Linked DNA regions of Mytilus edulis. The protein of the gene in region 3 purifies or fractionates together with the protein of the main gene of each other region. This does not show direct contact. Links are inferred from orthologs where the notes say so. Each region holds a gene or a part of one and is shown on either strand. Other genes may lie near its edges.

What was found.
Region 1: the proteins of DNA polymerase epsilon catalytic subunit A-like (region 3) and probable cytosolic iron-sulfur protein assembly protein CIAO1 homolog purify together in Homo sapiens (affinity purification with western blotting; 3 studies listed by BioGRID, with this or other methods). This does not show direct contact. The link is inferred for Mytilus edulis from reciprocal best matches to the Homo sapiens genes POLE and CIAO1.
Region 2: the proteins of DNA polymerase epsilon catalytic subunit A-like (region 3) and MMS19 nucleotide excision repair protein homolog purify together in Homo sapiens (affinity purification with western blotting; 3 studies listed by BioGRID and IntAct, with this or other methods). This does not show direct contact. The link is inferred for Mytilus edulis from reciprocal best matches to the Homo sapiens genes POLE and MMS19.

What each region holds. Positions count from the first base shown.
Region 1 is NC_092345.1:69,389,619-69,393,378, forward strand, and holds the start of probable cytosolic iron-sulfur protein assembly protein CIAO1 homolog, read left to right. Parts: upstream 1-1,035; 5' UTR 1,036-1,089; exon of another isoform or gene 1,090-1,142; intron 1,143-3,363; 5' UTR 3,364-3,364; coding exon 3,365-3,758; intron 3,759-3,760. Other genes in the region: ras suppressor protein 1-like, read right to left, coding at 707-812. UniProt on the Homo sapiens protein: Key component of the cytosolic iron-sulfur protein assembly (CIA) complex, a multiprotein complex that mediates the incorporation of iron-sulfur cluster into extramitochondrial Fe/S proteins.
Region 2 is NC_092347.1:91,257,747-91,261,506, reverse strand, and holds the start of MMS19 nucleotide excision repair protein homolog, read right to left. Parts: upstream 2,477-3,760; 5' UTR 2,438-2,476; coding exon 2,344-2,437; intron 1-2,343. UniProt on the Homo sapiens protein: Key component of the cytosolic iron-sulfur protein assembly (CIA) complex, a multiprotein complex that mediates the incorporation of iron-sulfur cluster into apoproteins specifically involved in DNA metabolism and genomic integrity.
Region 3 is NC_092348.1:84,503,505-84,507,264, reverse strand, and holds the start of DNA polymerase epsilon catalytic subunit A-like, read right to left. Parts: upstream 2,582-3,760; 5' UTR 2,562-2,581; coding exon 2,488-2,561; intron 1-2,487. Other genes in the region: large ribosomal subunit protein mL40-like, read left to right, coding at 2,819-2,850. UniProt on the Homo sapiens protein: Catalytic component of the DNA polymerase epsilon complex. Participates in chromosomal DNA replication.

The DNA.
Region 1 (3,760 bases), on a different chromosome or scaffold from region 3:
AAAGTCTATGGAAAATCTAGAGGATTCTTATCCGCATCACCTCTCAATAATGTTTACATAACACAAATGCTAATCATTGATTGGTCAGTTACATGTTGTGATGTCACTGCAGATCTGAGAATTCCACGGACATATTAAAACAGACTATTTTGACCGTTATGTTAATTAATCTTAATTACAAAAGGAACAGTTAGATATGTCACCTGACTTTGAATGTTACCTTCACACAAAAATGGACAGATTCATGCTGTGATGTTCACTTAGCAGATCGTCTGTATATTCAAGAAGGTACAGGTGCTATTTCATTACCATATCTGAGGAACTGATCTTAGGTCATAAAAATAAAAGTCAATCAACACCTAGGCCATATGGTATCATAAAGTTTTACCTTAAACTATTAATCTCACCAGGCGACAGTTAGAGACAATTTATATACCCTTAATAATCGTAATATTTTATTATGGGGCCGGATCGACTTGGGGCCGGATCGACGTGGGCCGGATCGACTTGGGCCGGATCGACTTTGGGCCGGATTGACTTGGGGCCGGATCGGTTTGGGGCCGGAACGACTGGATACCATTAAAACTGGGTTAGCGGTAGGTATGAGATCAAGATATGTAAGATTCCTGTGCTTTTATCTTTCAGCCATGGTGTTGACTGTTGTTTGTTTATTTCTTATCCCCCCCATTTCTACATGCAAACATACACAATCCTGGAATTTCCAAGGTATTGATGCCCTTATCAACAATTTCCAGTTCATTGTTTTTGGTATCCTTACACTCCTCTATAAACTTCTTTGCTTTTGCTGCCATGATTGTCGACACCCAAAATATGTCCTATTTAGGAAAAGCAAAAATAAGGAAGTGCCTAGCAGCAGCTTCCGTTTCAATACGACGCCAAAATAGTCCTGTGATAAATATCTGATTCTAAATCCTAAAAGTATAATGTTATCAAAACTATCAAAAAGAAGGTGATTGATTAAAAAAAGTTACTTAAATTCATTACAAATATGTAACTTTTCCATCTTTGCGTATTAATATATAAAACTACTTTCAAGATGTCAGCGCCCATGTAGATACAACTTTTCATGTAAATAATATTGAAAAGGATAGAATTACTTGACTGATATGAGTATTAGACTGGTATTTTTCGCAACAACCCCTCAATAACATAATGAAAAATGTTTATCTGTTTAATTACACCAAATATATGTTATTGAAACTCTCTGTTCAGCTGAAGGGACACCTTTTTTTACTAGTAATAGTAGTAATCCATGAACATGTTTATTATCTATGTCTAATTTTGTAAATAAGTAGAGACTACCGTGGGAATTATACTTGTACTTTTACACATTAGCACAGTCTTTATGTAATGCCATGGTATCTACATGTATGTGTCATTGTCATTCCATTATTAAATCGGTCATTTGTAAAGATGTCTTATTATTCACATTCGCGCCTATTCACGTTGGCACCCTACATGTTCACGCCCAAATTTTATTTAAACTATCATATACTATGAAATACAAATCGTACATTGTATCTTCATATCTTTTTTTTTTTTTAAATAATGATCGAGTATTGGTTTTGTGTTCAATAATTTGTAAACGAGTTTTGAAAAGTGTATTGCTATAAATATTAATCCATCATATTGTCATACTTGTCCAAACACAAATGAGATCAGAGGAGACAAGCTGTTAAAAACAATTATATTTCATGTTTTTTATTTAAAATCTTGAAAGTTTTGTCATACCAAGCTAAATATATACATTTGTATGCAGTTATTTACATCAAAGCAAAGACTTAAAACAACTATCATGATTTTTATACACTAAAAAATAACACCAAATTAGCTGTGTATAAATACCAATTAGCAGTAATCATACATAATTAACATTTAGTAATTAATCATCAAATTAATAAAAAAAAAATATATTATAATTCCCTCAAATTTTATTCAAGAAACTAAAATTATTTGGTATATACATATAAAAAAATATCTAATAATTCAACTGAAATTCTAATACAAATTGGGTGCGAACGGACTTCGGGTGCGAACATGTGAGGTGCGACCGTGTAGGGTTGCGAAAATATATTGGGCGCGAATGGACCTGATACCTTCACTTTATATACGCAACACATACTTCATAGAACAATCACAAGATTGGGGGTGCATGCTGTGCAGTAGTTTTGTTGTCTAAAATTTGTGCACATTTTTATACGACGCGTCATATTATGCTATCATGTTGTCGTTGTCTGGTCGTCGTCTGAAGAGGCATTTAGTTTCCGGACAATAACTTTAGTTTTAATGAATAGATCTCTTTAAATTTTTATCAGAAGGTTTAATACCACTAAAGGAAGGTTGGGATTAATTGTGGGGTTATGGCCCAAACGGTGTAGGAATTAGGGGCCACAAAGGGGCCAAAAACAGCACTTTTCTAATACTTTGTATAAATTACTTATTTCTTGACCAATTTAAAAGGGGTTTTATTCTTAAATTCTTGAATCTAACCGTGAATTAAGTTTTTTGAATTTGATCCACGTTTTTAAATTGGTCCACATGAGGTCCCAAGGGTCCAGAATTAAACTTGATTATGGGCCCGGTTTTCAAGTTGGTTCAAATTGGGCTCCAAAATCAAACTTTGTTTAAACTTTGTTTGATTTTAACGAAAATTGAATTTATGGAGTTCTTTGATATGCTAAATCTAACCATGTATTTTGATTTTTGGGCCCTGTTATCAAATTGGTCCACAATGAGGTCAAAAGGGTCCAAAATTTAACTTTGTTTGATTTCATCAAAAATTGAATTCTTGGGATTATTTAATATGCAGAATCAATCCATGGCCATGTATTTAGATTTTGGATATTAGACCATAAAAGGTAAAAAAATTTTTTTACATTTAATAGACCACACTCATTCTGTGTCAGAAACCTATGATGTGTCAACTATTTAATCACAATCCAAATTCAGAGCTGTATCAAGCTTGAATGTTGTGTCCAGACTTGCCCCAACTGTACAGGGTTTGACCTCTGCGGTCGTATAAAGCTGCACCCTGCGAAGCATCTGGTTAGGATTACCTTTATCAATTTAATCATGCCTGAATAATCTGGATAAGGTGATAAGGTTTAGAATAATTTTGACGGGAAGAGACTCGTGAGGGTAAACATGGAATATAAAAAATGTCAAATACCACAGCATAGAGGGGAATTTGAGGCATATTCGCTGGCAGTGGTGACAAACATGCAAATATTCATCTATAGTAAAAAAAAAAATCATTTTTTGAATCTTTGTACCTTAAACTACATGTACAGTATGTTGAATTTTATTTCGGTTCTAGTCATATACTTTTCCTGTTTATTACAGAATGGCTCAACTTAAAGAAGTGTGTAGTTTTGATGGTCACAGTGACAGAGCATGGTGTGTGGCATGGAATCCTTCTGGCACATTACTGGCATCTAGTGGTGGGGATAAAGTTATAAGGATCTGGGGCAAAGAGGGAGACAACTGGGTCTGCAAATCTATTTTATCTGAAGGACATCAGAGAACAATACGTGCAGTTGGATGGTCCCCTTGTGGGAGTTATTTGGCTAGTGCAAGTTTTGATGCTACAGTTTGTATATGGAGCAGAAAAGAAGGAGAGTTTGAATGTATTGCAACATTGGAGGGCCATGAAAATGAAGTAAAGGCTGTATCCTGGTCATGTACTGGTAGTCTCCTTGCAACCTGCAGTAGAGACAAAAGTGTTTGGATTTGGGAAGGT
Region 2 (3,760 bases), on a different chromosome or scaffold from region 3:
TAGAACTTAAGATGTATAAGGCTATACATAATTTTCTGTTCACGTTTGGATACTTTAGTAAGATTTGCGTGACCTCATTTTACGGGGCAAGTGAGCCACATATTATTATACACACGATTCCAAACAGCACTATATTGATATACAATGTATCTTGAAGAAGAAATCAAGGACAACAGTCTAGATTGATAAAAGCATATACACTAATCTTAATCTCAAACACATTTCCATAGGACACATGTAGGAAAAAAAGATGCACAAGTTTGTATTTTACTTCAATTACTTCAGCAGTGGTTGCAGACATGGCAGTCAAAATGTCTGTCGAATGTGTAAAGGAAATATTTGTTTTTGTGTTAGTTCCTCCTTTTAAGGAGCACTAAATTCAAGTTTATCCATCTCGGTGGTAAACTTATCATTCATCATGATATTTTTTAAATAGGTCAACATTTCTTACGGCGTTCTTTGGACTTTTAGATTAAGGTGGTACCCAACACCTTGACTAAAATTAATTTGGCTCGTTTAATTTTCATAAAATTTTGACAAAGTACTTACTTTGACCCTTTGACAAAAAAAGACCTTCCAACTTTTGAAAACCTCCATGGGATTTTTTTTTATGTGTATCGCTTCATCTTATGAAAAACATAAAAATTTCAAAACATTTGAACCAACCATTTAATCAGAAAAATTACACTGGTTATATAGCAGTTTGACAGACAATACTTTTGATCATTGAGAAGCTTAATATTCCCTTATCAACACAATGTACATGATGTAATTAAAACGTTTAGCTGATTTTCAAAAAGTTATCTCCCTGTAGTGTTAGGTACCACCTTAAGTTAACCATGTTAACATATGTTATTTTGACCAAAAATAGGATCACAAGAGTCTAAAAAAAGTCAAATTGTCATATTGTGGGGTCATTTGGGCAAGATAAAAGGCATCACGCATATGAACAGAATCAGGAGATATTTTTCTTTCTATGTATTAACAAAAGAAGGCAATATGCACTTACCTATATATATATATGTTTTTGTTTTTTTTATTTTGCAGGCGAGATTGTCGTTCTTATAATATTTTCAGAATGATTTTGTCATGGTCATCAACATTCACAGAATTCACATGACTTGTATAAACAATTTAATAGGGTTTTTATTTATAGAAACATTTATTGATAAATATAAATAAAATAAAATATGATTTCAGTGGGCCAAAATAGGAAATAATTCGTAATTGTGTCCAGTTGTACATGTACATGTAATTGCGTCCAGTCGGCTAGGGAAACCGATTGATTGGTGCAGTGAGGGATTCAGGGGAGGGTTCCTGGGGTTGGAACACCCATTTTTTTGGACGATCAATGTTTTGGTATGGGGACAAATAGTTCGAACCCCCCTTCTAATTTATAAAAAGGCTGGATCCGCCACTGCTGTGTTTGCTTTAGGCCACAGCATAGAAAAAGGTAATATATATATATATATTAAATGCTACTAATATCCAAAGGCACTCGTCTCAGAATATTTGTTTCTATATACCTTTATATGCACTTCTCTCAGATTTCTTTTCCCTATCATATATTGGGGAAAAAATTCTAAGAAGAGTGCCTGTGTAATGTCGTAATAAACAGGTCAGGAATAACCACCAATTGGTGGATTATACGGTACCTCAATTGACATATAATACACCAGTTGACATATAATGGTATACATGGTATAGACCAATTGACGTATAATTTATTTTTTTTAAGCAAATTATTCAACAAAAATACATGAAATAGAGCATTGTTTTCTTAAAACCATATTATGGTATGAAAACATGTCAAACATTCCTAATTTAGTATAGTGACATAACATATTGCATTTAATCAATAATTGTCAGACTCACAGCCACTGGTTATTCAAAAACCCTCCACTTTTTAATATTTATCAGGTCAGGAATAACCAGTTGCTGAGAGTCGGTGACCGCAGGGGTTTGTTAAAATCGGGGATCGTATGGATACAAAAATACTGAACTCCGAGGAAAATTCAAAAAGGAAAATCAAAAATCAAAAGGCAAAATCAAAAGTCCAACACATCCATGACATCAAACGAATGGATAACAAAGTTCTGTCATATTCCTGACTTGGTACAGGCATTTTCTAATGTAGAAAATGGTGGATTGAACCTGGTTTTATAGCTAGCTGAACCTCTCACTTGTATGACAGTCGTAAACCCGGCAAATGGTAAAAAAACCCTGTGCTGTGACTTATTGTGTAAGACCACCTCCCCCCTTTTCTTCATTAGGCCGCTCAGCAGTAGATTTTTAATTAAGAAATACGTGAACACATAAGTGATCAGCAATCAAAATAAATACCTTTTGTGACCGAGCTTATCGTTGTCCTTTGGTCTGCAACTGTATTTTCAATATAATTTTGAACACAACTTTCCAATTTCATGGGCGCAGCCATCTTTTTCAAGCTAAAGTTGTCTCCCTTTAAATTCCCGCCAATTTTCTAGCTCTTCCAACATTTTTTTCTATCAATAAAATATCAAAAACTCAATGAGCCGTCGGATAAATACAGATTCTTTTTTTAATATTTTGAAGACAAAAGTGAAGTTTACGATTATTTATTGGAAAATGAAGATACGTCAGTTGGTAAACACAGGCGCTTGGGTCTATGATACAGATTTTTTTTTAATTTTTTTTTTTTATTAAAATATTCAATTTTCTATATTTATAATACATATCTATCACTTCTGTGCATGTCTCACCTAGTTTCGAGCGATTTAAACGACCCAGAGAAAATACCAAATTTTACTATCCATAATTCTTAGTATGGATAGTAAAATTTGGTATTTTCTCTGGGTCGTTTAAATCGCTCGAAACTAGGTGAGACATGCACAGAAGTGATAGATATGTATTATAAATATAGAAAATTGAATATTTTAATAAAAAAAAAAAATTAAAAAAAAATCTGTATCATAGACCCAAGCGCCTGTGTTGGTAAACTATATATTGTAATAGCATGTGCTCAATTTTGGCTTTTTTTCTCTATCCTTTCCTATAACTAAGTCATTTGATTTTTATTTTTTTTAATAATCTTAAATTGTACAAGAATTTGCCAATGTTTGTCTGGTATATGAGCAATAAGGACATCTTGAAGTAACTTGCTAAACTGATTTTTTTGTGTAAAGCAAAATTAGTATAAAGCAAAGATATTGCAGAGTTCTTTATAGATGGTTAACTTGAACCTTCTGACCACCAAACTGGTATAAGTACGACGTCATTGCGGTTCTCACACTGTTTTTGACTTAATCCGTTGGTTGTGTTCTGATTGATACATATATCTGGGAGAACGAGATTTATTTGAGTGTAACTTGTTGTTAGCTTTGAAAAAACTTTCAGTAACTACAAATACTTCTATTCTATTTCGGGTGCTCTGTGTTAAATTGCCTTAATGTTAGTTGCTTTTTTGTGTCTCGACTTAAGACTAATATACTGGTATAATTTTTTAATCATGAAAATAGTGATGAATAGAGATATAGTTCGACAGCAAATATGATATATAAGCTTTATAACTGAGCATCTAAATCATAGTCCGAGATTACTCTGACGTCCAACGGCTGTTATGCCAGACAAGCTGTACTCTGACGTCCAACGGCTGTTTTGCCAGACAAAAGCTGTCTGGCAAAACAGCCGTTGGACGTCAGAGTAATCTCGGACTACTAAATCAGGCCTAAAAAATAAGTAAAGGAGCAAAAATTGTGACTCATCTCGCAATTACATGAAC
Region 3 (3,760 bases):
CTTAAATTTCCCCACCGTAATATGTTATTGGGCGATATAAAATGAGACTGTTTGATGTGTAAATAGCAGTCTGCACCAAAAACTTTTGAGGGTACTAGTCCACAGGACAGGACTAGTAATTATTTTAATTTACTAGTCCTGAAAAATTTCCATTAGTCCGACACCATTGAGGGTCGCAAAGCGACCCGATCCAGCTAGGGGGGTTTGGGGGCATGCCCCCCCCAAAGAAATTTTGGAATCTAAGATGCAAAATCCTGCATTTTGAGCACACCTGAAGGGGTTTAAGCTGGTTGAAAATTATTTTTTTTCGCTAATTTTAAGGATTTTACATTTGCAAAAAATTATTAAACAAGGAAAACTGCCTACACTATTTATTTTTAGTCATAAGTTAATAACAAAAACAATGTCAGAGTTTCCAAGTAATTTATAGTTTTTTTTATTCCTCATAGTCTTTTAATAATTGCTTCAGTTTTAATTTAGACACCCCATTGGTTTTGTTATTGTCTTTGCAGTACGTGCAAAACATTAAGAATTCAATTCAATTCAAAGTTTTATTGCCATATAAACTTTACAGTTTGTGACATATAACAACAACAAAAACAAATAAAACAATAACTAAGTTACTCAATATATATATACAAATTAAGGTAAATATTAAAGGGTCCCCTGTCCTCAGTTCCATTGACTTTTTTATAAAGGAAACTAGTTTATTCATTTGTGTTGGTGTAGATGGATTAAGTTAAAGTATATATATAAATATGTCATTGTCAGTGAGATTAGCAAATGAATTATTTTCTCTGTTAATGCAATTAAAATATGTTAATCTAATATTTGAATTGTGAGAATAATTTAAATTATTTATAAATGTTTTTCATCATCTAGTACTTTGAATTTTTTGCAAAGTGAGGAATTTGAAAATGCCTTCCTTTTTCAATTAATAATGAATGGTCACTGATTATAAGTTTTGTAAAATTTTCTAAATTTAAAGTTTGAGTTAGAGAGGTAAGGTTTGATCAGTAGATTTGGATCAAGTCCTTTATACAAATTTAATTTACTTTTATCATCAATATATCTCAACTTATCCATCAACAGGTTGTTGTAGTATGAGTTTATTTATTAAGGATGACGGTCATTCTTCCAACTACAGGAGATCCGAAACTCTCTGGTCACCTCAGATTTTTTTTTGTTCAGAAACGTCATGATTTGATGATTGATCTCTTTCGTTTTATAGCCTTTCCTGGCTTTGCCCATCGGTACATTGAAGAATATTTACGTTCTCCGGTCTTTCTAATTACCAAAAAATCGAAGTGTAACAATACGATGTTGTGAAGATAACTCATAATGACATAAATCTATTTTAATAACTTTATTGGTGATGTGAAGTAAACTAAAACATTTTTATAACATTAAAGATATATAATTAATCGGGGGAAAACTTGTTAGTCTTTTCGTTTTATAAACAATTGCCGTCATTATTAGAAAATTTAATGTGTCCGTGTTGGTCCACTTTCTACTGGTTATAAGACAGATCGAGTTACCGGAACTACTGCGACAGGTTTTCGTTTCTGTTTCACTTCCTCGGGAAATGTACAATTATCGATCTCGATAGTTTAGACTTCGCAACACATTGATTTGACGATCTTTTCTGCATTACTTGTCAATTTGAACTTCAAATATGTTCAAATTTCAAGAAACATAAAAAGGACGTTATATTTCTTACTAGTCCGGTCGGGCTAGTGATATATAAAATTTACTAGTTCGAGCTGAAAATTACTAGTCTGGGGCATCAGGCTAGTGGTTAACGTCGCAGACTGAAATAGTGATGAAGACTTTTTTTTAATTTTGGAGGCAATTTGAATGGTGCAATGTTTATTTGATACAATAAACATATTTAAACTTTTAATATTTAGCTGAATGTTGTCTTCAAATGACCTTTAAATATCTGCTCCCAATAACTTTCTGGTGTTAAACAACAAGAAGGGGGGATAGGACCTTTATCGGGACTCCCCGATCAGCTGTTTTTAAGCTCGGGATTTCGGGATTGATACTTGTGGGATCTGGGAATTCTTTTTTCAAATTTCGGGACCTCAGGGTCGTGTTTTTAAGCCGGGGATTTCGGGATCAGGACCCCTCCTATCCCCTCTAAACAATCACTTTTTAGTAGGAGTGATTTTACTTATGGTGGACAAATTTAAAAAGTGAAAAATATCTATTCCCAGATTTGCAATTTGCTGATTTGATATGGATTTGCCCATTGTTGAAGTCCACATAGTTACCCTTTGTTGTACACATTATCATTCTTTAGATTTCAATAAACTTGTCTCCTTTTGATGAGTTATCATATGTAATTTATTATAAATATTCCTATAAAAAATGCAGTTTTTCAGATCTTTTGTTTATTATTTTCAGATGTGAAATTGGCACGATTAAAAGGGCTAGGGTATGAACAATCGGGATCTCTGTCTATTGGTACAGATATTTGTTTACCCTCCTTCGCCATTGTCTCTGTCTGATTTATAATATTTATCTGATTTATATTTCCCACTGTTCTGTAGAACCATTTTTAGGTTGTGGCGGGAGATTAATTTCACGTTTAAAAAAACGAATTTACATATAACATATTTACTGTGACCATAGACACAATCAGTTTTTATTTTTTCTAATCTTAATAAAAACAAATTAGAATATTCAGCAATATAAGTATAGTCTTAGTAATCATTTGCTATTTAACACAAATTTCTTTTTGCCTAAAAGTTTGTAAAATCAATAATCCGTATTAAAACCAGAGAAACTCGAACAGACGAAAAATTGAAAAATTATGTCACTGGGAAAAATATCAAAAGTTTCAAGGTTTTTATCCAAATCCCAGTAGTGTTTTTATTTAATTTAACATTTAATGTCACATAAATATTATTTTATCTAATAATTGGTGAAGTTTTTATTTTCTTTGTCAAGATTTCTACCCATGACCATATATTCTGAGTCTGGTGTAGCCTGATTCAGTGATAGTTTGTAGTTGTTATAGACAACTTAAGTTTGTAGTTGTTATAGACAACTTAAGTTTGTAGTTGTTATAGACAACTTAAGTTTGTAGTTCTTATATAAACAACTCACAAATCTTCTCCTGTTATTTCCTTATGTCTCAATGCTTTTGCTGGGAGAACTGATTGGGTGATGACGTTTATGCCGATTGACCTTTGGTCAACCTATATACAAGAGGGGGTAAGAGAGGTCCTGATCCGGAAATCCCGAGCTTAAAAACACCAGATCCCAAAATCCCGGGCTTAAAATCACGAAATCCGGAGGTCCTGAAATTGGAAAAAAAGAATTCCTGGATACCGAAAGGGTCAATCCCGAAATCCCAAGCTTAAAAATACCCAATTCCGGAGTCCCAATCCCGAACCTATCCCCCCTCATATACAAGAGGGTCTTGATGCCTTTTACCACCAGGCGTCAAACGATCATTTTCAGCTACTGATCATGCTGATAGTGTCAAATTGGTTAAAATTTAAACCCTATCGTAATGTCATTTTGCAAGAATTTTTACTGTTGTACTGTGGATTCATTATTATTCGTTGGATACCAATTTTTCGTGGATTTCGTGGGTACCAGGAAACCACGAATTTAAATATTCAACGAATTGCAAATTTTCTAAAGGAATATATGCATACTTTGTCAAAACCACGAATTTAAATACCCACGATTATGCAAGTTTTCCTCAAACCACGAAAATTGGTACCCACGAAAATAAATGAATCCA